Linked DNA regions of Oreochromis niloticus. The protein of the gene in region 1 binds, or shares a complex with, the protein of each later gene. Links are inferred from orthologs where the notes say so. Each region holds a gene or a part of one and is shown on either strand. Other genes may lie near its edges. The genes, in order: unc80 and unc79.

What was found.
Region 2: the proteins of unc80 (region 1) and unc79 are in contact, whole or in part, in a cryo-EM structure (PDB 7W7G), measured with the Mus musculus proteins. The link is inferred for Oreochromis niloticus from reciprocal best matches to the Homo sapiens genes UNC80 and UNC79. Residues at the interface, in NP_780719.2 of Mus musculus: Gln23, Thr24, Trp27, Ser31, Leu34, Arg35, Pro36, Ala80, Pro83, His84, His87, Ser94, Asn95, Asn180, Ala183, Leu187, Phe190, Leu191, Arg337, Leu340, Gln341, Pro342, His343, Arg1317, Asp1320, Glu1321, Asp1324, His1545, Val1546, Asp1547; in XP_030102533.1 of Mus musculus: Thr120, Tyr123, Ser127, Ala130, Thr131, Leu168, Ser169, Ser172, Met175, Ile176, Gln179, Tyr180, Tyr207, Tyr211, Gly212, Pro213, Ser214, Val390, Cys391, Glu394, Glu402, Phe405, Arg472, Cys541, Asp917, Phe920, Ser965, Glu966, Phe967, Ser968.

What each region holds. Positions count from the first base shown.
Region 1 is NC_031986.2:22,030,558-22,043,034, forward strand, and holds the start of unc80 (protein unc-80 homolog), read right to left. Parts: upstream 5,462-12,477; 5' UTR 5,043-5,461; coding exon 4,951-5,042; intron 4,649-4,950; coding exon 4,600-4,648; intron 4,248-4,599; coding exon 4,091-4,247; intron 4,034-4,090; exon of another isoform or gene 4,019-4,033; coding exon of another isoform or gene 3,970-4,018; intron 3,053-3,969; coding exon 2,712-3,052; intron 2,289-2,711; coding exon 2,165-2,288; intron 800-2,164; coding exon 735-799; intron 477-734; coding exon 331-476; intron 1-330. UniProt on the Homo sapiens protein: Auxiliary subunit of the NALCN sodium channel complex, a voltage-gated ion channel responsible for the resting Na(+) permeability that controls neuronal excitability.
Region 2 is NC_031983.2:11,498,553-11,510,463, forward strand, and holds the start of unc79 (protein unc-79 homolog), read right to left. Parts: upstream 4,847-11,911; 5' UTR 4,630-4,846; coding exon 4,608-4,629; intron 3,250-4,607; coding exon 3,129-3,249; intron 1-3,128. UniProt on the Homo sapiens protein: Auxiliary subunit of the NALCN sodium channel complex, a voltage-gated ion channel responsible for the resting Na(+) permeability that controls neuronal excitability.

The DNA.
Region 1 (12,477 bases):
GCGTGTGGTGCAGTGGGTTTGACAGACGCTGCCGCCGGGCTCGGTGTTTAGCCATCAACAAGACGATGGCACCAGCTCTGTGTCAGTGCGGGTCACGTCTGCACTGCTTCAACCCTCAACTGGTTAAAGCGTGGAAAAATTAGTCATTTCCGAGAGATTTTATGAAAGCAGCGCCTCCAATATCGATCGTTTATAAATCAAAAATAATGCTTGTGTGATTTCCTCTGTGGGTCTCTATTAATACATTTATTCATTCGTTTGGTAAGTTAAAATTGATGCTTCAACATGTCTCACTGCTTCTTGAGGGGAAACTGAATAACACATGCTCACTTTTTCTTGGAAGGGCCTTTGACCAGTGGGGGTTGCTGTTGGGAAGGGCCACCTTTCTCCACTGAGTTACCACGACGACAGCTCTGCTCCCCGGCTGAGGGGGAGGAGGAATCTGATTGGGTGGCTTCGCAAACCACCTGGAAGCCCTATGGGTAGGAAGAGAGAGAGAGAGATGGATATCAGGAAGACAGACAGGCAGACAGTTCCTGATAATTAAAGGCTCTGAGGTTGGAGTGTGGTTTCTGTCATGACCCCGGCTCACCGTGCTAATGAATATTAACAGCCAGCCCCAGGGGGAACATTGGAAAAGGGGAGGGGAAGAAGCCTCAGACTCTTGCCCAAGCACATTCAATCAACATGGGAAGCAGAATCTGACAAGATATGGGCTGAAAACGTTAGCTCACCATGGGACCCGGGTTGCCTGATCCACAGGGGCTGCACTGGTTGTTGACTGGGGAGTTCCTCTTTGCTGTTTAGACAAGCATAACAGTATACATGTGTTAATTGTGAGCAAATAAAAATAGATTATCTCTCAACGCACTAATTCCCAACCAGGGGTACAAGTACCCCAGAGGGTTCTTCTGCAGTAGGCAGCAGACACCTGGAATAATTCGTTTCACTATTTATAGAACTGAGTGGTCCTATGGCTAAAAATGTTAGCTAACGTTATGGATTGTGTTTGTTACACACCAAAAATAGGACAGTGTGGTTGCCTGGTGATTGCATTGAAGGTTTTTGCCTTTCCATTGCAATTATTGCCGCCTAATTTATAAATGCAGATGGATTGCAAACACAATATAATCAATCTAAGTCAGTCTGCGCCAATGACCGTAACTCGTCTGTGATACGTCTCTATTTGTTTTTTGTAAAGATTTTTTGGGGCGGCATTGTTACATTACTTTGATAGTAGAGCAGTAAATCTGTGAGGTTCCTCCTGGATAGTAAATGAAATTCGTTAGTGTGAATTTCTGTGTATGTAGATTGCAAAGGATTTGCAATTTTTACAGATTTATCACAGTTAATCACAAACAAAATGCATGTAACTACCAAGCTTAACCCCGTCAATCACAAACTGACAGCAGATTGACTCCATCTTATTGTGATTGAAATGCTGGATAACCAAATAGTCAAAACTGTTAGCTAACTTGGTGTATCAGCAGTTGAAATAGCAAAAAGGTACGAATCACCAAATTGCCAAAACTGTTAGCTAACTGTTTAGATTAGCAGTGGAAATATAAAAGTATACATAACTAAAGAGATGAAATTGTTAGGTGACTGTGCAAATAACACTGTTAGCCTAATATAACAGATAAAAAAGCTGTATTACAGCAGCTAGCTAAAGCTATGAAATGAACACCAGTGATTTAGCTGCTATGTTGCTGGAAGAAAACTGTTAGCTAACTTTGTGTATTAACAGTTTTAAATAAAAAAATAAAATAAACATTTAAATAGTTTAAATTTGCCAACTACAAAAATATAACACCAGCAAACGTAATTATATATATTAAATAGCTGTTAAATAGAGTATTAGCTAAGGGCAGTAGATAAAAGGTTGAAATTATAAGCTTATTTATGGTTAACTAACTATAATTGAGACATGGTAAACTAAAAGTATCCCAGATTTAGGTTAAAATTAGTTCAGCTGAACATAATAAACATGAAAGATGTTAAGGAGGAATATCTGACACAGCTGCATGGGTTATATATTAGGAATACGGTTAAGAACCACTTTCTTTAAAAGCTTTACAGAGGTTTATTATATATAAGCCCTTAAAAATAGCGGCGATTTCTCAAAGATAGTAGGAATTTCTTTAAAAACTGGGAATTTTTTCACCTGTAACAATGTTTCTGACAGGTTTGATGAGGGCAGTAAAGGCAGGGATGTCAGGCAGGCGGTGCTCCCACATTGGCTGCCATATTACCAGACCACTAGCCAGTCTGAAGGTCAGGTCTGACTCCTGGAAAAAGGCAACATATTTACACATTTTTTTCCTCAAAAAACAGCCTGTAAACACCAGAAACAATAATTCTGTCTTGGTTAAATGTTTTGTGTTGTTAAGATTCTTAAACCTCTGTTACAACATGCTAACAAGACAAGACAGTAATTCACTGCACAGCTGGGAAACAGTGCACTCCCATGAGTAATATAAGCTGACCCTTTCATCTGTTTGCACACACAGATCAATAGGCACAGGGTGATGCTGACTGCAAGTACTAAATTAAGCAACACAGGGGTTGCTGAAATTAATTTAATCACAAAATTATCAAAATTATAAATAGTCTAATGCCACAGATTAACACAACAATGCCTGTGTCATCCTGGCTCTCTGTTACAAAAATCAATTTCAAGGCCGTACATATTTGCATCAGCAGTTACGCACCTTTATCCGATGAACAAGCGGTGCAAACAGGAACACAAACAACTCTACTGTTGCCATGCTCTTTTGGAATAGCTTGGTGCGAGTATGCTCATCCTCCTCCAGCAGGGAGCCGCTGTGCTGTTGTCCTAACCCGCCCAGGCCCGAGCCAGAGCAGGAGCTAGGAGCTCCCGGGGAGGAACCCTGGTTCCCCACAGGCTGGAGGAAGGCGCTACTGCTGCTGCCCCTGGACCAGCCGTGGCTCAGGCTGGGCTCGTGGTTGCACTCCTGTGGGGCCTCCAGCAGCATCCAGTGCAGGGTGTGGAGCAGCTTGGTCTCCGCCACACCCAACTTGTCCTGGTGACCTGTGATGTAACCGAAAGACAAATACTAAACACGCAGACACTTTTTTTAAATCTGCTTAAACATGACTGGCCTGCAACAAGTCACCTGCAAGTGGACTCCAGAGAGAAACCAGAAAGCTTCCACTTCCAAAAATTCTTGCATGCCTACAAAACTGGTCATATTTGATGGTGACCTCTAATTTCCTGCTTCTAAATTCAAACTGAAGTTATTGTCCTCAACCCTAATAATCTTAGAAATATGATATCTAACCAGATGCTTACTCCAGATGGCACTATTTAGGCCTCCAGTAACACAGTGAGGAATCTTCGAGTCCTTTTTGACCAGGATACGTCCTGAACTTCACATATTAAACAAATATGTTGGATTGCTTTCTTCTATTTGTGCAATTTCTCTATAATTAGAAATGCCCTTTCTCAGAGTGACACTAAAAAACTAGTTAATGCATTTCATTACTTCTAGGCTGGAATACAGTAATTCCTTAATATCAAGCTAAAAACTCTCTGAAAAGCCTTCAGTTGATCCAAAATACTGCAGCAAGAGCACTGACAGAGACTTAGCCAGTGCTTTGGTCAAAGGTGGAGTGACAGGAGAACCAATCTAGCATGTTCTTGCATGAAACCTGAGCTCCCAAAGGGGAAACCCTCAAGGACAACAAGCAGCACAACAGGAGGGATCTGACCTGGATTGAATGAAGGACCCTCGTACTGTGTGGCAACAGTGATTTTCACTTGAAGGCGTTTAACAGCTTAGTTCAAAGCCTGCCACCTCCTACTTAAAGAAAGTGTCAAATCCAGCTCAATAATAATGCAAACAGTGGCTCATTCATGTCTGACACATGGAAGGATTTGATGCTTTTCTCTATCTCGTGTTGTGTGCAGGCTGTTTTAATCTCATAAATATTAATTCTATCATTTGCCTTTCTGTCCATTTAAGCGATGATCTCTGAAAGAAGCTGAAAGGAGCATCAGATTTGTGTTTTGGCGATTGGGTATGACCTGGATGAAGCTGTCAGCTCGATTGGACTAAAGCGTCCTCACCAAGCTTGTTCCTGTTAGACAGCAGGATGGAGGTGCAGTGGAGTACGTGAGGCAGCGCCGCCTGGACGAGCTCCCAGCGGGAGATGCTCTGGATGGCCTCTGACAGGGCCGGCGACAGCCCGTGGAGCTTGTTCTCCACCAGCACTCGCTCAAAGGACTGGGGAGGCAGCCAAAGGAGAGAGAAAAAAGAGGAGAAGAGAGACATCAGGCGGGCAACTTAAGCCTCTTTCTTTGACTATCTAAATGTCCCACATGGCCCCGAGCGAGCAAAAGCCTGTGGGAGAGACAGTGGAAGCTCTGTTTGGATCCAAAGGGATCTGGAGAAGCGTCATTATGGATATGAGTCTAGCTCGAGGGTAATGGGAGGAAGCACGGGGGCAAAACTAATTTGCTAAATGCAAAATCAAGAGCTCACTTGATTTGCAGGTGCATTAAGGTAAAAACAGATTACTGGGAAGGGAAGCGATTATTTCCCCTCATCGTGCACATGGTATTATGAAATGACTTACCACACAGGATGCCTCATACTGTTTTCCCAACTTTGGCCGCAGAAAAGCACTGAAAGACATCAACAGAGTGCTTGTGAGAGATTAAAAAAGGACAAATGTAGGTTATAGGCTAGTAAATTACCCCATTTTGTCTATGTGGCCCACTTTTTGTGCAAATTTTACAGGTGTGACATCATACAATCTGCACCCACAGCCCCATCTTCCTCCATTTAACACAAATCAGTGAGCAGACACTCACTGGGTTTCTCAATCACTTCATCAAATAATGTTGACGTGTGAGGCGGTGACAAACCCCCGTCAGCCCTGCCTTGTTTTCACCAACGGCAAACACCTGTTATCAATGTCACTAACCTGGTCTGCCTCCACAGGAAGGTCTGGATCGGGAACGGTATTCCCTTCCCGCACTCCGGTTCGTTTTCATCCAGGCTTTTCCTCTTCACCATTTTGGCCGAACCCTGCGTGGCCGCCTGCCTGTGTGCGATCACCGGGACGCGCGGCTGCTGGCTCTGCCCAGGTGACCAGCGAGCTTTTCCCTCCCTCTTCACGACATGATTGGGTTAGTCCTGCGTAAAATGGCTGCAAGTGTCGATCGGTCGGTCGGCGGCAAAGGAGAGATAGAGATAGAGAGAGAGAGGAGGAGGAGGAGAGAGGAAGAAGGAGCGCTCCGAAATCAGCACCTCCCTCCCTGGACAGCGACAGCTGATCGGAGAGCTAATTTATCAGCAGCGGCAGCAGCAGCGGGGCTTTAAAGACGCAGTGTGCAGCTGGGCCAGATGTTCTCCCCCTCTGCCTTTTCTTCCTCCTCTGCTTCCCCGCAATCAACACATGGAGCGACCTAAACCGCTGCATCCGCGTGGTGCATCCACACGCGCCATAATCCACCCCTTTAAATATCAACAGGTTGTTTAATAATAGCCCAAGCTGTGAGTCATAAAAACACAGCAAAATCAAATCAGGTGTCACTTCCCGAAACATTCGCACTGTTTAAAGAGGCCATGCCGCGCAATAATATCCTCATCAGGCCAAATAATGTCTGCATTATTGGACAGGTGACGAACATGGATCTAACTTGTTGACGAAATCCAGAACAATGCACCGTGGTTTTTAACATGGCAGTGCTGTTTGTATACGGTGTTTCCGTGTAAAAGAAGAAAAAGAAAGACCAGAACTGTTCTTAGGAGATGGACAGTCACAGCATCTGAACAGTGCCTCACGCTGCAAACACTAAAACCATGAACATTGAATCCCAGCAGGGTTGGTCTGAACATGCATGAAACTTTACAAAAGACAGAAAAGGATCAGTTAAAGGAACATTAACAATGTAGGGAAGAAAAACTTTAGGTTACTTGCGTAACCCCAGTTCTTTAGCAAAGTGAGATGTCTTACTACGGGATGAGCCTCCCTGCACATTTCTCAGAAGCATTTATCTAATTGACCACCAGCCAATCCCGATTGGTTGGTGGTCAGGAACAGCCATCCACGTTTAAATAAATTGCGCTATTACATACCCGTTATTCAAGATAAGCACCTCTTCTCGCTTAGCAACAACAAAACGGGCTGTCTGGGTCATGCTACTCTGAAAACCGGAGTTTAGTCACCATCTAGGCATTGAAGTCTATAATTTGCAGGAAAAAGACACTGATTTAGTCCTGGTTTTGTTCAATGGGCTTAACAAAAATATATATTTTTAACTGTTCAGGAATCACAGCCATTTTTATATTAAGTCCTCAGGTGACTGCCTTGGCCATTAAAAAATATCTCTATCTTTGCATGGAGAAACTCTTGGGTTGCTCTAACAGGATGCTTTAGGTCAGTCAGTTGTGCAGCATTCGGCTAATCTGAGCAGAGAATAGTCCCACACACTTCATAATTCATCCTGCTCCTTCTATCAGCAGAGACATCACCAGTAAACACCAGTGATTTAGTTCCACTGGCAGCCATACATACCCATATGACCTCCACCATGTTTGATGGATGATGTGATATTCTTCAGATCATGGGTTGGTTCTTTCCTTCTTCAAAATTTCATCTGTCTCAAGAATTTGTTTGCATAACTTTTTGGCTTGTTTACATGTTTTTTTGCAATCTGGCCATCTTATTCATGTGTGAGACCAGTGGTGTGCATGCTGTTGAAGGCATCTCTTGGTCTCTCTCTTGAGAAATGTTGTGAAGCTCATTTTATTTATTTTAACATCCACTTTATTGTCTTCGTGTGCTAGAACATTCCTTCCTCTAAAGAAGAAGCTGATTTGTCCACTCCTACATTTTTTGCTATATATCTGATAGTTCTTTTCAGCTCTAATGATGGCCTCTGTCACATGCGCTGACATTTCTTTGACCCTAATATTTAAGTAAGAAGCTGTGAAATTGGATTGGAATCAACTTCAGATATTTTATCTGCTTCATTTGTCATGGAAGAAGGGAACAGGCCTAATCTGGCCATCAAACTGCCTGTCAGTCAATTGTCTAATTGATTTAGAGCTTCTGAAAATGGGATAGTATACAGAAATGACTGTAATTCTTAACAGTTTTGTTAACCCTCTTGAATTAAAAGCTGCAGTGGTGTATAGAACCAAGTCTGCAAAAATTGTGTTTGTCCAACTATAACTTTCATTAGAACCCGAGAAAAGAAATGCTTCTCTAGTAAGCTAAAGAAATCTGTCGTCGCGCCTCATTGAGCATAAACTAAAATATGTTAATGTTTAAAATTACAGAAAAAAAATCATGTAATAATAATAAAACTGAAAGTTTTTATTAATTCACAAAAAATATCTGTTTTTAAAACACTGTTTTGCCAGACTAACAAACTCATTAAGTGTGTAGTAATGAAAAAAGGGAAAGGTTGCTGTTATTTAATTGTTTATCTATCACTTAATTACTTTGTTGTTCTTTGGTATAGTATGAATGACTGTAGAGGCGTTTAAACAGCAGAAAAAGCTGTAAAATCTGTGAAAATACAGTCAAAAGTCCAAAATTTAACCTCTCCTTCACATTTTCCAAAGCTGTCCACAGGGCTGATGTTTGTTGGGTCGATTCTGGCCCCCATGCCTTATGTTTTACCCTCCATATCAACTTCATGCAGAACTATAGAAAATTATAACAGGTTTTAAATCGTTTGTCTGTCAAATATACAAACTTCAAATGACTACAGTAATGCCAGCAATGCCTCCTGTTTAATGAATAATGATGACATTTTTATTTAACCTTCAAAACGCGTGCTGATGATAACCAAACAGGCACGCCAAACATGCAGGTTGACGCGTTTTTCACAAAAAGATGAGAATTTTCAAAGAATTGATCCACAAGACTAGAATGAACCAGTTTTTTATTTCTTTTATTTCTTTATTTTTGTTGTTGCCATCATCCTGTAGGAGCATTTTGTCATCAGTACGTCTCAAACACCGGAAAGTGTGCACACATCTACAATTTTTTTAAATCTTTTTTTTTAAATACACTTACACAGGCAAAGAGGGGAGGGAGGGATATAGGAAGCACAGAAAAACACTGGAAGGGTAGGTGACATCAGGAGGGGAGGTGGGTGGGGGGCGGAGGAGTCTCATAATGGTGAGCAGAGAATATGCTAGAACATTTTTTTTATTCTTTTTTCAAAAAAAAAAAAAAAACTTCTAAAAGCTGCAGTTTTGTGGGGTATTATTCCCATTCTTCACGTTTTTCATCTCCGCAAACGTTCAAAAACTTCTTTCAAATGGAATGTTTTCATATAAAGCTTCACACTTAACACTTTTTAAAACAAACTTCGGGGCTTTCACCCACTCAAATACACTACACAACCCAGTCTTTGCAAAAGGAGCAAGGTCACAGGGGCCCGTATGCTAGAATGCACCCGGGCCATTTTACACTCACACAGAAAAGTCGAAGATCGCTCCAAATAGATCTAATTTATTTATCATTTATTTGCCATGCCAGCATAACAGCATTGTTGTAGCCTAATAAAAACCACAGCGCTAATGTAAAACCAGAAAATAAAAAGAAGAGAGGGGGGAAGGGGCGGCGCAGCCCGACGGCTGACGAGAGAAGAAAATAAAACACAAAAATCTATTGGAAAGCTAGCCTTTTAGCGCCCGACTCGACAGAGCTGCAATGGTTATCCACATTTAAATGCTAATAAGCCAGAGCAGCCACAGGGAACGTACAAAACTGTAAATACTTCCAACTACAGTGACATATATTTTTTTATATATTTATATATAAAAAGAAAACAAGAGAACACAAGTTTGTCCAACAATTCAGCACAATTCAGGAAATCCAACAAACGCAACAAAGAAAAGTTCATGTCACACGTTTTTTTTTTGTTTGTTCTTTTTGCAGACATGCTCATCAGCCATTCTTTTGCAGGTCAGTTAAGTCTCTCGCTTATCTTTAAGACTAGCACCTACTCTCTAGTAGCTATATCTTGCATTCAGTACCGTATAAATTCTGAATGGATGTCACGCAGGGGTCCAACTTGAAGTTTTTAGCCCCGTGCGAGTGGGAATGTGTCGGTGCTTTTCAACGCACCAAAGAAAAAGAAGAACAAATAAACAGAAAAAGGACCAAAGAAAAATACTGTACAATCGTAAAACCACCTTCTTGAACCACTTGAACCTTGGCATTCAGCTTATCTAAAACAGAACAGTCCACGTTTGAGTGAATGAGAGGATAAAAAGCAGACCGACAGACGGGGGAGTGTCGTTGAAGATTTATGAAGAATTCAGTTTTTTAAAATCCCGCTTGGAAGGGACGGAGGGATCGTTGATTGGACGAGACGGTCAACCAGCTACAACTGTGGGGGTTACGTTAAACACTGGAAGCTTGTGATGGGAAAGATGGGAAAAGGAGGAGGGGTGATGGTGTGGATTTGTATTTTTCCTAAGCAGAGGCAGCTGGCTCATAAGCCCTGCTTGGCCAGGGCAGCGGTGACATCCTGGGCCAGCGTGGAGAGCTGGGGGGACTCCAGGAGGTTGATGCTGCCGGCGGAGGACAGGCGAGGAGAGGTGCCTCCCGTCTCGATGCCGGGGGAGTGGGTGACGATGATTTCCGCACCGTGGTCCACCCGAGCTTTGGCCGAATCCCGGAAATTCAGCTTGTGGCTCTCGATCTGGTGAGCAGGGGAAGATGGTTTAGGTCAACGCTCTTTTTCCTCTTTAACGTGAACTGACAGTGACATTTGGTATAAAAAGAGGCTTCCTTTTACCATGATGTTCCCGCCTCCGGGAGTGTGGCTGGCGTTCTCCAGAGAGCCGACCTTGGCGTGGGCCTTCTCTTTGAAGTCCAGCTTCACATTCTCGATACGCACATGTCCTCCCCCTGGGAACAGGACAGCAAGGAGGAGAAGAGAAGTGTTAAACCCACGAGGAATCGCTCGCCTGCAGGACACCACTTCTCCTAGGCAATGCTCAGGGCAAAAAAAAAATCTCAGTCTGCACACTGCACAGCCTGAAAAAGGCACAAGTGCCAGCTTTGACCTGCTTTATACAGTTTATATAGTACCATATAAGACCGGATGCAATATTCAATTTCTTGCTTTGACACTTTCTTGTAAAAATCATTGAAATGGTGACATCATGGGGGCAAAACTGAAGCTGTAAGCGGACAGATGACAGACAAAATTAGGAAATATCAATCAGATTATTGGTACGATGAAAGGAAATACATATGTTTTTACTAAATCACAGCTAATTTGACAAGAACAGACTTTCGCTCAAAGACTGGTGTTACTGGGCCTTGTTTTTTTTTTTAAAAATATGACAAACAGTTTGACATCTTTATGTTGGTCTGCGTGGAATTTCTGACTCCTTTTGTGCAACCCACAGCCACTGAACTATGTGTTGCACTGTAAGTTAAAGACAAGCATGTAATATAAAATGAGTGAAGAGCGTTAATGATAACCTATTATAAAATGGATGGTGACCAACAGTAACTCCAATTGCTAAAAGAGTAAAATTTAAATGGTAAAAGAGGTTTGGGGTCATTTAGAAACCGTCATAGTTTGTCCAGCAGAGCAGCTCTGACTCCATCCGGGCTGCCTGCAGCACATGTAGCAGAGCAGCAGCACAGCTGATAGTTGTGTGGAATCAAGCAGCGTCTTCACATTAAGTTCCTAATAGGATTGGGCAACATGATAAAACCTTCCAACCACCTTCAGTCAGCCCAGAAACTGGCTATTTGTGGAGGAGTATGTGTGCTGCACAAACATTTGTAGCGTTTCAGTGGAAAAACTACCAAAACAGAAGAAACACTAACGCTGGTGCTTTGTTCTACACGAGTTGTCAATGTCTAAGACACTCATCAAATTTAGTTATGGAGTACTTTGCTGGTTGCCCTTTTTTAAAAATGTTACAGCATTGTTTGGGATTTTAGTCTGTTGCTTGGTGCCTGTTAGGCAACATAAAGACATTAGTATATACCATGCATAATCCAACTCCTGTGGATATAAATGAGAGCGTACAGTCCTGAAATTAAAACTATACAATGCATTTATAAGGAGTTTTAGTTGCATACTACAAATGGGCCATTTTAGCTTGCTGGTCGGTGGTTGCTAGGCAGTGTAATGATGTGCTATAGATAAGAACAATCAGGGACTGGGTTTGTTTGCTCAGCTGGAGGGTTCATGGATTACAGTGGATGTACATAAAGAGAATTGGTACATATATCAATACTGGAAGGTTTTAATGATCCATATCAACATTTAACATAAAATACAGCATTTGTTACACTCTAAATGGCACAAAAATCATTTATATCCATAAGGACAAATCAAAATCAGCTAATAGCAACTAGTCTTAGCATTCCTTTAAGAAGAGAGCCTTAAATACTTTGTACAAGTAGGATGCCTTCCTTTTTTTCATATATCATATATACTAGTTAAATGCATGCTGGAGTATTGTTTGGTCTGCGATTTTAGTGTGTTGTTAGATAGTTGCTAAGCAGCATTTAGACATCATAAGTTATCATGCATAATTCAACTGCTGTGGATATAAATGAGATGTTTTTGCCACTAAATTAAAATGATACGAAGCTTTTATAAGGAGTCATAGGTGCATAAACGCTGCAAATGGGCCATTTTAACTCTTTGGTAGGTGGTTGCTAGGCAACATGATGATGGTCATTGTCTGAGATATAGATAAGAACCATTGTGGGCCTAGGATTTTTTGCTCAGCTGGAGATTTCGTGGATTACAGTGAGATATACATAAAGATTATATATCACCACTTTTTTTAAAAGTTTATAGTATGAGTAACTTCTTTCAACGGTAATGACAACTAGTCTCAGAATTCCTTTAAGAAAAGGCCCTTATATACATTGTACAATTAATGTAATTCTCTAAGTTTTTCTAAAAGGCCAGCTGTGGCTGTACAGTACCTGGTCTGTGGTGGATGTTGGAAAAGGAGCCACATTTGGCGGTGACATGGCTCAGGTCGATCTTCTTGGTCTGGATTTGGACCTGCGAGCAGTGGCACATTGCACAAATTCACCTTTAAATGCTTTGAATATGAATAAACCACAAATAACAGGCATGAAATGCAGTGAAAGGAAAGCGACAGGTTTTAAAAAAAAAGAAAATGGACGAGGTGAGATGACACGAATCTCTAGACAAAGGCGGCGTGAGTCAATCAACCGCAGTCCACAGAAGAGCCACAGAGAGGCTGATGTCAGATCCCTGGAGGGGAGGTTAACATGAACGCAAGCAGTGACGGTGCAGACATCAAACAAACACAGAACACTGGCGCTACTGTGTGACGCTACGGGGAGCAGGTGCTTCAATTAAACTTTATTGTCCATGGGTGATGTGAATTAGTGCGAGCATTGTAAACAAGAGAAACTGACAGCCTTGCAGGCTGCAGAGGGAACTGGTTTATGTTATGAAATATATGCACT
Region 2 (11,911 bases), on another chromosome or scaffold:
AGAAAAAAACAAACCCAGATAAACCCCACATAGGATGCAGTGTCTCACTATTTAACTGTATAACTGCAGGCACGGGCAATTTTTCCCTGCGCTGTCTGTTCCGTGTGACTTTAATTGAATTTATCTTGTTTTGTCTATCTTTGCACTTGGAAAACAAACAAAAAAAACATGAGCACAAACTGCAATGATCACTGCATCTCATGCGTATCTGGTGACAAGGAGCAAAAATATAAAAAATGGCATGTTTTCAGTGGCAACCCCATACTTCTCCAAAAAGGGACAGCTCAAACGGCTGTCCCTCGATGGCTGCCATCTTCCAATCAGCAAGGTCAGTGGCTACCATGCAAAAAAAAAAAAAGGCCAATGAGCCATAAGAGTATATTTTCCAAATGAAATTTCCTTGTCTTTAGTGGGGCTGTCAAGGATGGGAGTGACACCAAATTGGTTCGGGAAAATACAGAGGTGACACTTTTGAAACATGCTTCAGCCAGTAATAAACATGTGTGTGAGGTTAGATCAAGTGCTCTTAGGTCACAGCACATGTTTATTGCACCAGAGAAATAATGTCTGTATGCATACGTTATGATACTGTACCAGTATCATCAGGAGAAATAATGAGATCCAACAGGCATATGGATTCAGGTTTCTAAAATAAATGTAACAACTAATCTACAGTAGAGGAGAAACTATAATGACAAAGGAATAGGTTGTATCGGGGGAGATGACTGGTAGCATTATGTTTGTGAGCTAATGCAGGATGGACAATTGTGTTTGCTGTCCCCTGGGGAAAGGTGGTGGACATATTCAATTTTAAAAGAGGAGAAAAACAAAAAAACAAAAGCAAAAACTAGTCGGGTTGAGTGTGGAGCGTCTAGGGTGGAGGAGGGAGGAGGGGGAGGGCCAGAGAGCATTGCTCTTTTTTTTCTTTTTTTCTTTTCTTTTTTTACTGCACATTATTAAAGAGCTAAGCTGTTCTATCAGGCAAATGACTGGGATTTACCATGAGAGCCCAGATTATAAATGTTGATGTATTGCTTTTTTTTTTTTTTTTTGGCTTTTTTTTTTTTAAAGGTCACTCACAAAGTAGAGTTGCAGCATTTGGAGTTACATGGCAAGTGAGAAAGGGGATTTCTTTTTTTATCAGATTTTTAACATGGCATAAGAACAGTATAACGTACCATCATGTGACTGATCCCCTCAAAGTTATACTCTGTAGGATTTAAGTCAGCGTAGATTCATTAAACTATGTAATCAAAGCTGCGTTATTATACAGCATAAACTCAAACAGGACTTAAAGACAACGACAAGACTGTATCTCAGAGTATGACTTTTTCACTGCCCATATTTCATATAGAAAACATCATTAATTTGAACAATGAACATAGACATAAACATCGGACGCGCTCACACACACACACACACGCACGCACGCTGAACATATACACGCAAAGACACGCATATGTGCACGCATACACACAAAACGACACGAGAAAATTACAAACGACACATAAAACACATGTAGAAATGCACTGATACGGACACATGACATACATTTACTGTCAAACCCTGCACTGTCGTTGCAAAATCATGGACTATATGTGTGTATCAGTTACTCAAAGCACATGTTTCCTGCATTAACATGTTAACAGGTGTGTGAAGTGAAACAACTGTGCTGCATCTGAAATGATGGCTAAACAGTCTGTTGCAACGTCAGTGATGTTCACTGATACAGAGAGCTCACTGTGCCTCATCTTTAAGATATAAAACTTGCTGGTAAAGAGATAACGTAACCCTCTAGCTGACCTAAAATTGGTGCATGAATCAACAACCTCCTCCTTTGGCTATTTCTTTTCTGCGAAGATGACACATGCCTGCTCCACTTCTCAAGGCTCGCTACTCCCACTTTCCCACTCTCTCTCCCTTTTGATTTTTTTTCTTCTATTTCTTCGCCCCGGGCTTCAGAAGGCACAGATGTATGGATAATCCTGGAGTCCCCGCTGAGGAATCCAGACTCCTCTAATGGTGGGCAGAGTGATTTTGTTCTGCATATCTGAGGCTAAGAGACTGTGCTTCGGGAAAATATCAAAGAACCGTTAACAGTGGCATCATACTGAGTGACTCTTTTCTCGCTCGCATGATACTGCCCCGCAGAGGCACAATCGTCACTCGAGTTAATGCCCATTTCCAGAGTTGCCACCCCTGTCACGCTCAATCTGTGCCCTGAGAGGCTACATTTGAAACACCCCAGTGACTGGTTCAGGACAGCCCTTCAGCAAAGTATGGAGTATCCAGGATACTCTGTGAGCACCACGGCAGAGGAATAATCCTTATGGATGGCTGAGGAGTTGTGTAGAATTGAGGCCAGCTGCCAATCTCAAATAGATTGCACCCTAAGCTGATAATAATGATAGAAGTGAGGCACACAAGTTCAGCCTCCAGTAATCCCACCATTCTTTAATAAATTAGCTAATAAGAAAAGACAGTGCCTCTGTTCTCACTGAAGCTGGCGGGTAGTAATACTGCAACCACAAGAAATATCCTATCTCTGCAGAGCATGTCTGGAAAAATGAAGCCCCAACTGGACAGAGAGAAAAAAAAGAGGAAATAGTGCTCTATTAAATTAGACGTGTTCAAAATGGCTGCCTACTTGACCTATGCTGGAAGAGGAAATAACATGCTGTTCCCTTCACAGCACCCAAGAGAGCAGGCTGACCCTGCAACTGCATAGCCGGAGGAGCTGAACTCCAGGCCCTCTGGGAAGGACACAACAAACCGCCCCAGGAAAGCGTTCATCTAGCAACCGACCACTGAATCAATAAACATCACTGAGCCATCTATCTCTGCGGCTGCCTTAAAAAGACGACACCATAATTACACAGGAAATCTGCTACAGTCTGTATCTTTCAGAGCAGAAGAGGCGAGGCAACATCTGCCATGATGGCCACTTCCTTAACCTCTTGCTGACATTATAAATTAATATGAGACATTGAATTGTGTCACTGTCATGCCTTTGAGAAAGTGTGTCAGAGCGACCTGCTGTAATTAATCTCATCTGATTGTGAAGGAAGCTAATATCAAACATTCTACAATCTTTACTTCACCTGGTGGCTCCAGAGCAGGGTACTTACCTGAGCAGGGTTTGGGAAAAGTATTTCAGTGTGTTTGCAATGTCTGTTCCGGAGGGCACTGGGTAAATATTGTGTTGCACACGGTTGTGATACTCTTGCAAGTATCGTATCTTAGAGGCAACTGGACAAAATAAAGAGCAGAGCAACAAGCAAATCAACACTAGTGAGATATGATGCACGACAGCAAAGACATATATCATGTAACTGAACAAGTTGTTAGGTAGTATTTAACATGAATCCTTCAGCTATTAAGTTAAACAAAGAGTGTGTTTTCCCATGGTTCTCTGGCCTTCACCGGGCGACCTTTTTTGGTATAGCAGCAGGTCACAGGAAGCCCTAGAGGAGGCAGTAACCTACTGCTTACAGAAACAAGCTCACACACGAAAGGTTGCCAGTTCAAGTCCCAAGACAAGCTGGGAAAATGTGGTTATAGCGAACATGAAAGGGGGCTTAAGAAGCAACACAGAGGAACATTTCTGTAATGAGCCCAGCTGGCTGCTCTATATTGAAATAATCTCTGTAGGTTCAGATATGACTGTGCTGTTTGTTGTTAGGAGTTCAAATATGTTGAAGTGGGTGATCGCTGACCCATTTTCTGTGACTTTAGGCAGGAATGTTTAGCTTCCTTCCTGACCTGTAAATGACAAACCCCAAAATAAAAATAACAGCTGCAGGCTTGGAGGATTGTCTGGTCAAAGCATGTGCTGCGATAAATACTGAAGCACAGCATCTTTCCTGTTCATCATAAAATTAAACCTCCTCAGAAAAAAAGGACTAATTTTTTAATATTTTTCAAGCTTTTAATAATATTTCGAGCTGTTAGTCACAACAGCAGATTCAGCGTTTTCTGTTCATTCCCTCACTTACTGGCTACCAAACAACAGGAGCAACACCCAACTTTTAACCAGCTGATGGGGCTGGGAACCCCTAACACTGAGTTTGACCCCGTCTTTTAGCTATTGTTTAGCGGTAAAGAATCAGAAGACAGCGGCTGGTGTCCACCTGTTCACAAGCAGCGAAGTGGAAAGAACAACAGACGTCAATATAGTGTGATCAGACCCCACGATTGATCAATATAAAGCCACCATATTGTTCAGTAGCCTGTCAGGTCGACCTTGAGACCAGCATTACACTTCGCTTTTCCCACGCGCCTCAGCCAGCCACGTCAATCAAAATAAAATAAAATTTAAAAGAAATAAATAACACGGATCACAGAGCGATCCGGACATGGAATTGTTCCATCAACACGCAGAGAAACAGAGGGTGATTCAGTGGCTCTGTGTGTGCACTGAGACCTCCAGCCATCCTCTGCAGTGAGAGGACGTGTTGCAACCTGCCTTGGCAACCGCGGTTTCATCACCAAGGACAGCTCCCCTTGTTCGCTTTCTTGGTTAAACCAAAAAAAAAAAAATCAGTTTCCAGCCCCCTCACAAGACAAAACAGAAACACGCACGCACAGATACACACAGCCGTACTTACACTGCTCTGCCTTCGTAGACATTTCGCAGACACTTGGGGAAACATAAAACCCAGACTGTCAGTTGTTTTGATAGGTTTTTCCCTTCCCGGCGTTGTGTTTCCCTCAGTCGTGAAAAAGTGACTATGCCCCCTTGCAGCCCAGGCTCGTCTTGATTGTACCACTTTGCACGACGGATTTATACGCTGTGGTGTTTTAGCTGTGCTTCGGTCGCTTTCGCGATCTTTGAACGGAAATAAAGGGAGAGCTTGTTTTGTAAATCGTTTTTATATATTTTTTTGAGGTGGTGGTGGGGATTTTGCTCTCTCGTTGCAGAGATGGGTGGTGACATATATGTGACACACCATACCTTTCCAAATGGACTGATCCGGCTTTGACAAATTGTCATTCAAGAATTCCGACAACCCTATCAGCGCTGTTTGAGCTGATTATAGGAGGGAAATACTAAGCACCTCCGCTTATTTGCCTCCGTGATGCTTTACATGTGTGTATTTGTAATGCATGAAATGCTAAACATGCAACAGATGGTTGTCACACCTTCTTAAACATAATGTCCTTGAGAAAACATCGTGGGTTTTTTTTTCCAATTTTATATAAATACAGCTGATTGGCCACCGTGGATTGGCAGCGTGTCCTAATATTTTTATACTGATATTTAGTAATATTAATACTAATCTCCACTATCAGCTGGGCGCTTTAAAGAGTACATTGTTATCCAATAACACTTTCGAGCTATAAATGTGCATGTATATGAATATTTAAGCCTGTGTCTAAATGCAGCATTTCTCATTTAAGCGGCACTTCCGCTAGTAGATGCAGGACTGAACGATAAACAGACCGCAGGGTCTGAGGTCCTGACAGACCCTTCCCATCATGGTTTCTGCCAAGAAATTTGTATGTCTATACTCCTGACTGATGGAAATGATATCCTCAAAGTGTTTTAAAGCAAAAATTTTGTCTTTTTTTTAATATCACCCTCAAAACAGTCAATAATCTCAGAAATAAAATACACAATAGTTATCATTTGTAACTGTATAGGAAAATAGCTCAGTCAGACTTCAGATTTAACAAAGGTTTTACTTTTTTTCACGACATTTTACACAGTGGAGAGAGGTTCACACAGTGACATTGTTCGGGTGCCTGTCTGCAGAGTTCCTGTAGAAATCAGTCATGTTGAGGTATTCTGGCCTTGTCTTCGATATTCTGGGATATGATGCATGATCCAGCCAGCCGGGGCCAGGAGAGTCACAGCAAACACGCATAAGGCAAAGGTAGACTGCTGTAAGAAAGTCCAATAAAATATAACCATGAGTGTTTTATTCACAGACACTGCAAATGTAATCAACTGCATGAAAGGTTATAATACACATTCAATGCAGTGTTAGTGTTGGAGCTCTCAAATATCTTCTTTGATATGTTAAGTTGAACAGAGAAGACTAAGCACCCAATGAACACAACAGAGGGCCCCGCTCTTAGTGACTCACTGCATGATATAACTTCACCTCCACCACCCACTTATATTTTCCTGCCATGATATTCCCTCTGTACCTCTCCACCATGGTATTCCTAACCTGGGATGAGCTTTGTAAAAGCCCCTATGGATGTCCCTTAGGACAGATTAACAGATTTATAGTGGCATAAACACTTCCTGCTATGCTGCAGTTCCATCATAGGATCCCTTTACAGAGGCCAGAGCGTTGCACTGACTTATAAATAACAAATGAATAAAACATCTCTTCCACTCTGCAGACTGGGGAATGCAGTTCACTTGAATTCTTCGCATTAAGGGCATTTGAACCATCACAGACACTGACTTCCCACGACCGACTTTTTTATATTGTTTGCATTTTTATACCACCATAGTCCCTAAAATTGCATTACTTGTGGTTTAGCATCCATTCAGTTTAGGAAAAATATTACTACAGTCTTTGGTTTTGTTGCAGGACATTATACAGTGTAGATATTCAGGGATGTCTGCCTGTTTAAGTGCAATTACAAGTACAATAAAAGTTAGTCAGTCCTACCACTGGCCCAATCTTTTCCTTGGGTGGCTTGCTGTAGATGGTTGACCTCTGATTTTGCTTAATGTTCTTCAGCAGCAGCAACCTGGTTAGTGTGGGTCTCCTAAAAAGCACGGACATCCTTCTTGAGACAGCTCACAGTAAATCTCGTTCACAGAAGAAAAATGTGTCTCTGGAAACTTATCCTCACATCCTGTGAGATACTGACAGATAGCCTGTACTTTTATCTAATTCCCATCACTCTTCCTGGGAGGAGTTACTTCCATGGGCCAAAGACACTCGTGTAAACATACAGAATGAGTTCTCATCACAGCAAATTCGGCCTTGGTTGTGTGCCTGAAGATTAAAATGAACTGAAAGGGGGAAATATTGGTTACAAAACATTGATTTTAAGCCTGAATGAGCACACAAGGTGTCTTTTTTAATGCTGAACAGTCGCTAGTTAAGCACACAAAGTCCTAAATTAAGAACACAGCAATCAATTGTTGGCAATATACAACATTTTTTCTCTCTAGAAAGTACACAGGACACAGAGTGCTGAAGTAGTAATATGCATTTGATGGATTTTTGATAATCCATGTAATGAATATTGATTAATATTGATAATACAACAACAACATTCAATTTAATTCAAGTTTATATATATAGTACCAGCTCACCACAATAATCAGCTGAAGGTGTTCTATAACGTTCCTACAGTACTGGAGAAAACCTCAACAATCAAGCCACCCCCAATGAGCATGTACTTTGGAACCGTGGGAAGGCAAACCTCCCTGTTAACAGGAAGAAATCACCAGCAGAGCCAGACTCATGGAGGGGAAGCCATCTGCAGAAGCCAATTGAGGGTGAGGGGAAAGAGAAAACATAAAGTCCAGTAGTAGCCTGAGCCTATAGCAGGATAACTAAGTGAATGTTTAGGGTTTGTTGACCCAGCCCCAACCATATCCTTTATCAAAAAGCAAAGTGTTGAGTCTAGTCTTAAAAGTAGAGACAGTGTCTGTCTCCTGAATCCAAACGGGGAGCTGGTTCCACAGGAGAGGGGCAGCACAGTTGAAGGCTCTGCCTCCCATTCTCCTTTTAAAAACTCAAAGAACCACAAGTAAACTTGTAGTCTGAGAGTGATCTGTTGGGATAATATGATACTATGAGGTCTTAAAGATATGATGTGGCCTGATCACTGTGAGGAAAATAATTTTGTAAGGCAATTCTTGATTTAACAGTGGATTAACCAGAGGCTTTGTAGAGAATATTTAGCTATCAATAACTGTATTACTATCACTACACAACTTGTATGTTAATTCCATATATAGATAGAAATTTTGTCATTTCAAAAAAATATTATGGTATCACAACCAGAACCGCTTAACAAAAATCTTTAAAAGATAGTCTTCACAAATCAACACAAAGACAGGCCGATCTAGATGTCTGAGTAAATCTCTTGTATTTCTGTTCTGTTCCATTCTATTCTGTCCTTCTATTTAATAGACTGGAGGACAGACTGCCTGAATAAAACCAAAGACATGTATTGCTTAACTTTGTCATTTAGGGCTTTTCCTTTTGAATTTCTTAATCAGGGTAATTGCAGGGTAATTGTGGATTTATATCAACACGACAGGTCGATGTAAATAATAAAACAGTGTCCATTGTTTATGATTATTTTAAACCTATAGTGTACATACAAAAAGGTTTTGGCATTCACATTACATGTATTCTGTCGCCCTCAACAGGATGCAGTAAGAACTAGATCTAGCTGGGAAATAAGAACCAACTTTATCCCTGAAGTCTTTACTACTAGCATACCTGTTCACATAATAGTCGACACTGAATAAGACAAATATTCCAAATCGAACAGTGTTATGGGATCAATACGTGTATGTATTGCAAAGATGCATTGCAGCCGTTAGCTTTAACATAATAATCAAGGCGAAAATTGGTGGTGCAGCCTGCATCATAGTAACGTCATCTCATAGGTCTGCCTCTAAATGAAAGAGGGAAAGGTTAATAGACAAAACATGCACTGGGTTGCATTGTCTGGATCATTTTCTATAATATTATACTTAAAATTGCATACCGCTGTTCGTCACAGCTCCCGATTCTCCTGCAGAATTACTGACAATGTCATCAGTTATATAAAACGTAAAGGGAAGCTGAAAGTACTGTCTTGACCATATGATTGTGACACGTACGTAGCCCATTTCTGACTACTGCCACCAATTAAACGCTAGAGGGCGCTCGCAAACGGTATATTGCACAATCTGCCGTGAGTACTGACGGGCCTCTTGAACAGTCGGCATACAGCAATGAGAGTGTTAAGTTGACCTAAATTCAAAGAAAGATAGACTTTGCTTCCAAAATTAAGACGTTTCATAGCACGAGCAAAGCGTGCCTTTTAAATTTAACCGGTACTTATTCGATACCTGCAGAATTTGTGCAAAATTTGAATACCAAACGCGGGATGTGAAATGCTTTTTCATTGGGCTCGCAAGTTACTGCACAACGAAAATGCAAATCTCTCGCGTTTGGAGGTTTTATTTTGAAAAACATGACCGGAAGTGTCCTTCTTATTTTGGCTAACTTGAAACGGGTAGCGTTGGGATAGGCCATAACAACCACCCAACAAGGCGTTGTGCTACTAAGGGGAAATACCGAACCGAACCGAGATTTAAAACGGTCTGGGTTTAGTTTTTAGTCGAGGTAGATGCTGAAAAATCACCGGAAAGTCGATGCAAGTGGAAGCTATTGCACATTAGAGACCAAAGGTTGACGTCGAGCCGTGCGTAATGAGCAGAGTTGGGAAAAGAAGGTGTTGAGCTGCATTTTTTTTCTCTCTCCCTCTCCCTCTCTCTGCCTGAGACAAGTTGGATCGGAGTGCTGCCTAAACTACGAGGGGAAACGAAGAAAAAAAATAATGCCTGCGAAGCTCCTCACTTTCTGGTAAATATCTTTTAACGTTCGCTTTTCAACAGTTGTATCTCATCTTGCTCAAAGTAAATTTCCGAGGGCTGAAGTCAAAGCGACACCGCAGAGATAGCTTACCCTAGCCTCTTAGGATATGCTACTAATTACAGGGCTGTGGTGAATATGACTCCTGTAGCTGGGCTGTCGCCAAACAATTTGGACATTACTTCCCTTCTTTATTTATCAGCCGCGAAAAACAATCCGCTTTAATTTTATTTTTTTTCTTTGCTCTTAAAGGCACTTTTAACCAAGGCTTCCGCTGAGCAGCGGTAGCTCAGAGAGCAACAATAGCTCCGTGATAACGGCAGGCTAACAAAGCCTTTGCAAATAATTTGATTTATTTTCATACGGGCTGGAGAAGAGTGCTCATATTTGTTTTCGTTTTGCGTGTGGCTAGATTGGTAGAAAAGTTCAGGATAAGTGTGATTTTTGTGTCACTTTGGAGAAAAACCTACATGTTGCTGATTATTGCATCTGTGTGACACAGTAGTTGACAGACTGAGCTTTGGGGACAGCTTGAACCGCAATTGTAGCCGCTATGTAAAGATGAAGTGTGGCTAGGTCTTGTAATAATTTCCACAAGTCATACAATTAATACCATAACAGATTTAGATACCAATGACTTCTTTGAATTGTGTAGGTATCTGACATTAACCCATCCAATAGAAAATTAGTGTTGCTGTAGCGAGATTTTTTTTCTAACAACGTATGTGATGTTTGTTGGCATTAGCATCCGTGTAAGTGATGAGGAGCCATATGCAGTCTGCGATAATCCCATGGTAATCTCACAGAAATTGCGGGTGGACTCAGCAGTCAGTCCGTTAACTCCATCTTTTTCTAAAATGCAGCCTGTCTGTCTTTGCAGCTCCTCACTTGAATAAAGGTGCCTTCCCCGTGCGCTTTAGTGCTCATGTTTACCATTTCGCTGGGTTAAGTATTTGTGTCAGTGCTTCAGAGCTGTATAATGACATGTAATTATCAGAGTTGCATGCTCAGAAGTCCATGACTGGCATGAAAAGGCAGCGAGCTTGCAAATACTTGCCACTCAGTGATTGAATGAGCCACACTTTGCCCTGAATGCTGTTTACCCTGGCCAGTTGGATGGAGAACCCAACAATGAGCATTGACATCTCACTTAAAATAAGCACCCATTGTTTCCTGAGTTGCCATTCATTCTCTGAAGATCGACTACTGGGTTATGTTTGCACAGTCATTAAGTGTATGCCTACTTCACATGATGGTTCTGTTAGGTTTTCGATTGCAAGCGCACCTACAGGATGACATTCATCTGTCCAGTGTTTGTCGGTTAAGTTGCCATCATGTATTAAATCAAAGGTCTAAAAGAAAACAAATTAACTTTGAGGTAGCTGTGTTTGATATTTGCCATTTTGTTTCATGGCCTCAACGTAATCAGCTGACAGTGTACTCAGTGAAATGTCAAATATGCACCATTACGGTTCATATTGTTAGTTGACACAGGCTAATCCTGAGGCTGCTCACCATGAGTCATCATCGTGGGGACTTTTGTTTCCTCTCTCTGTTTCTGTCATTTCACTGTGTTGTCTGTTTTCTAGCTTGTTCCGATTTTTCCTTAGTTTCCCATGGCTCTCCTGCCAGAATCTGTAATCAGCTGAATGGCCTGACACAACATTATGCTGATTTACCTGATTGGCAAAAAACATTGCCGACATAAGCGGTCTGCTCTGCCTCTGAATTTGGACTCTCCGGTTATCGTTTCAGACAAAATATGACTATTATTTTAAGAGGGCGGACTTTATTTTGGTTTCCACCAACCTTCCGTGGTTGTTCCAGTCGGGTATCTTGCTGCAAGATGTGTGCAGACACATCAGTGCCATGGAGGTCACTCTGTGTTAGAGAGTTCTGGTTTCTGCTCACTGCTGCATTGCTTTTTTATGACCTTTCAGAGCACCCTTGATTGTATCAAGTATCAAAAGAGTCAGACAATCTGTAACTGAAAGCTGTATTTCTGTACAGCTTGGTAAGCAAAGGACGTAATGGGCAACTTACCCCAGAGGCCATTTAGCAGGTTTTGTGACAGCAAAACTTCTTTTCATCCCCCAAGGCCGGCATCTGTCATTTTTCTTGTTGTATGTGAATCAGAAAAATAAACTTCGTTTCTTCTGTGATTCCTATTGTGAAATGGATACACACATATATCAGCATTCGACTAATAAAAATACCTTTTGGAAACATCAAATTGAAGAGCTCTGTGTGTGAGAGCTTTAATGCATGACACTGCTGTGTAATTGCAGACAGGAAAGTGTTTGGGGAGAGTATTTCAGTGTTTCATTCAGGCCTGACTGTGG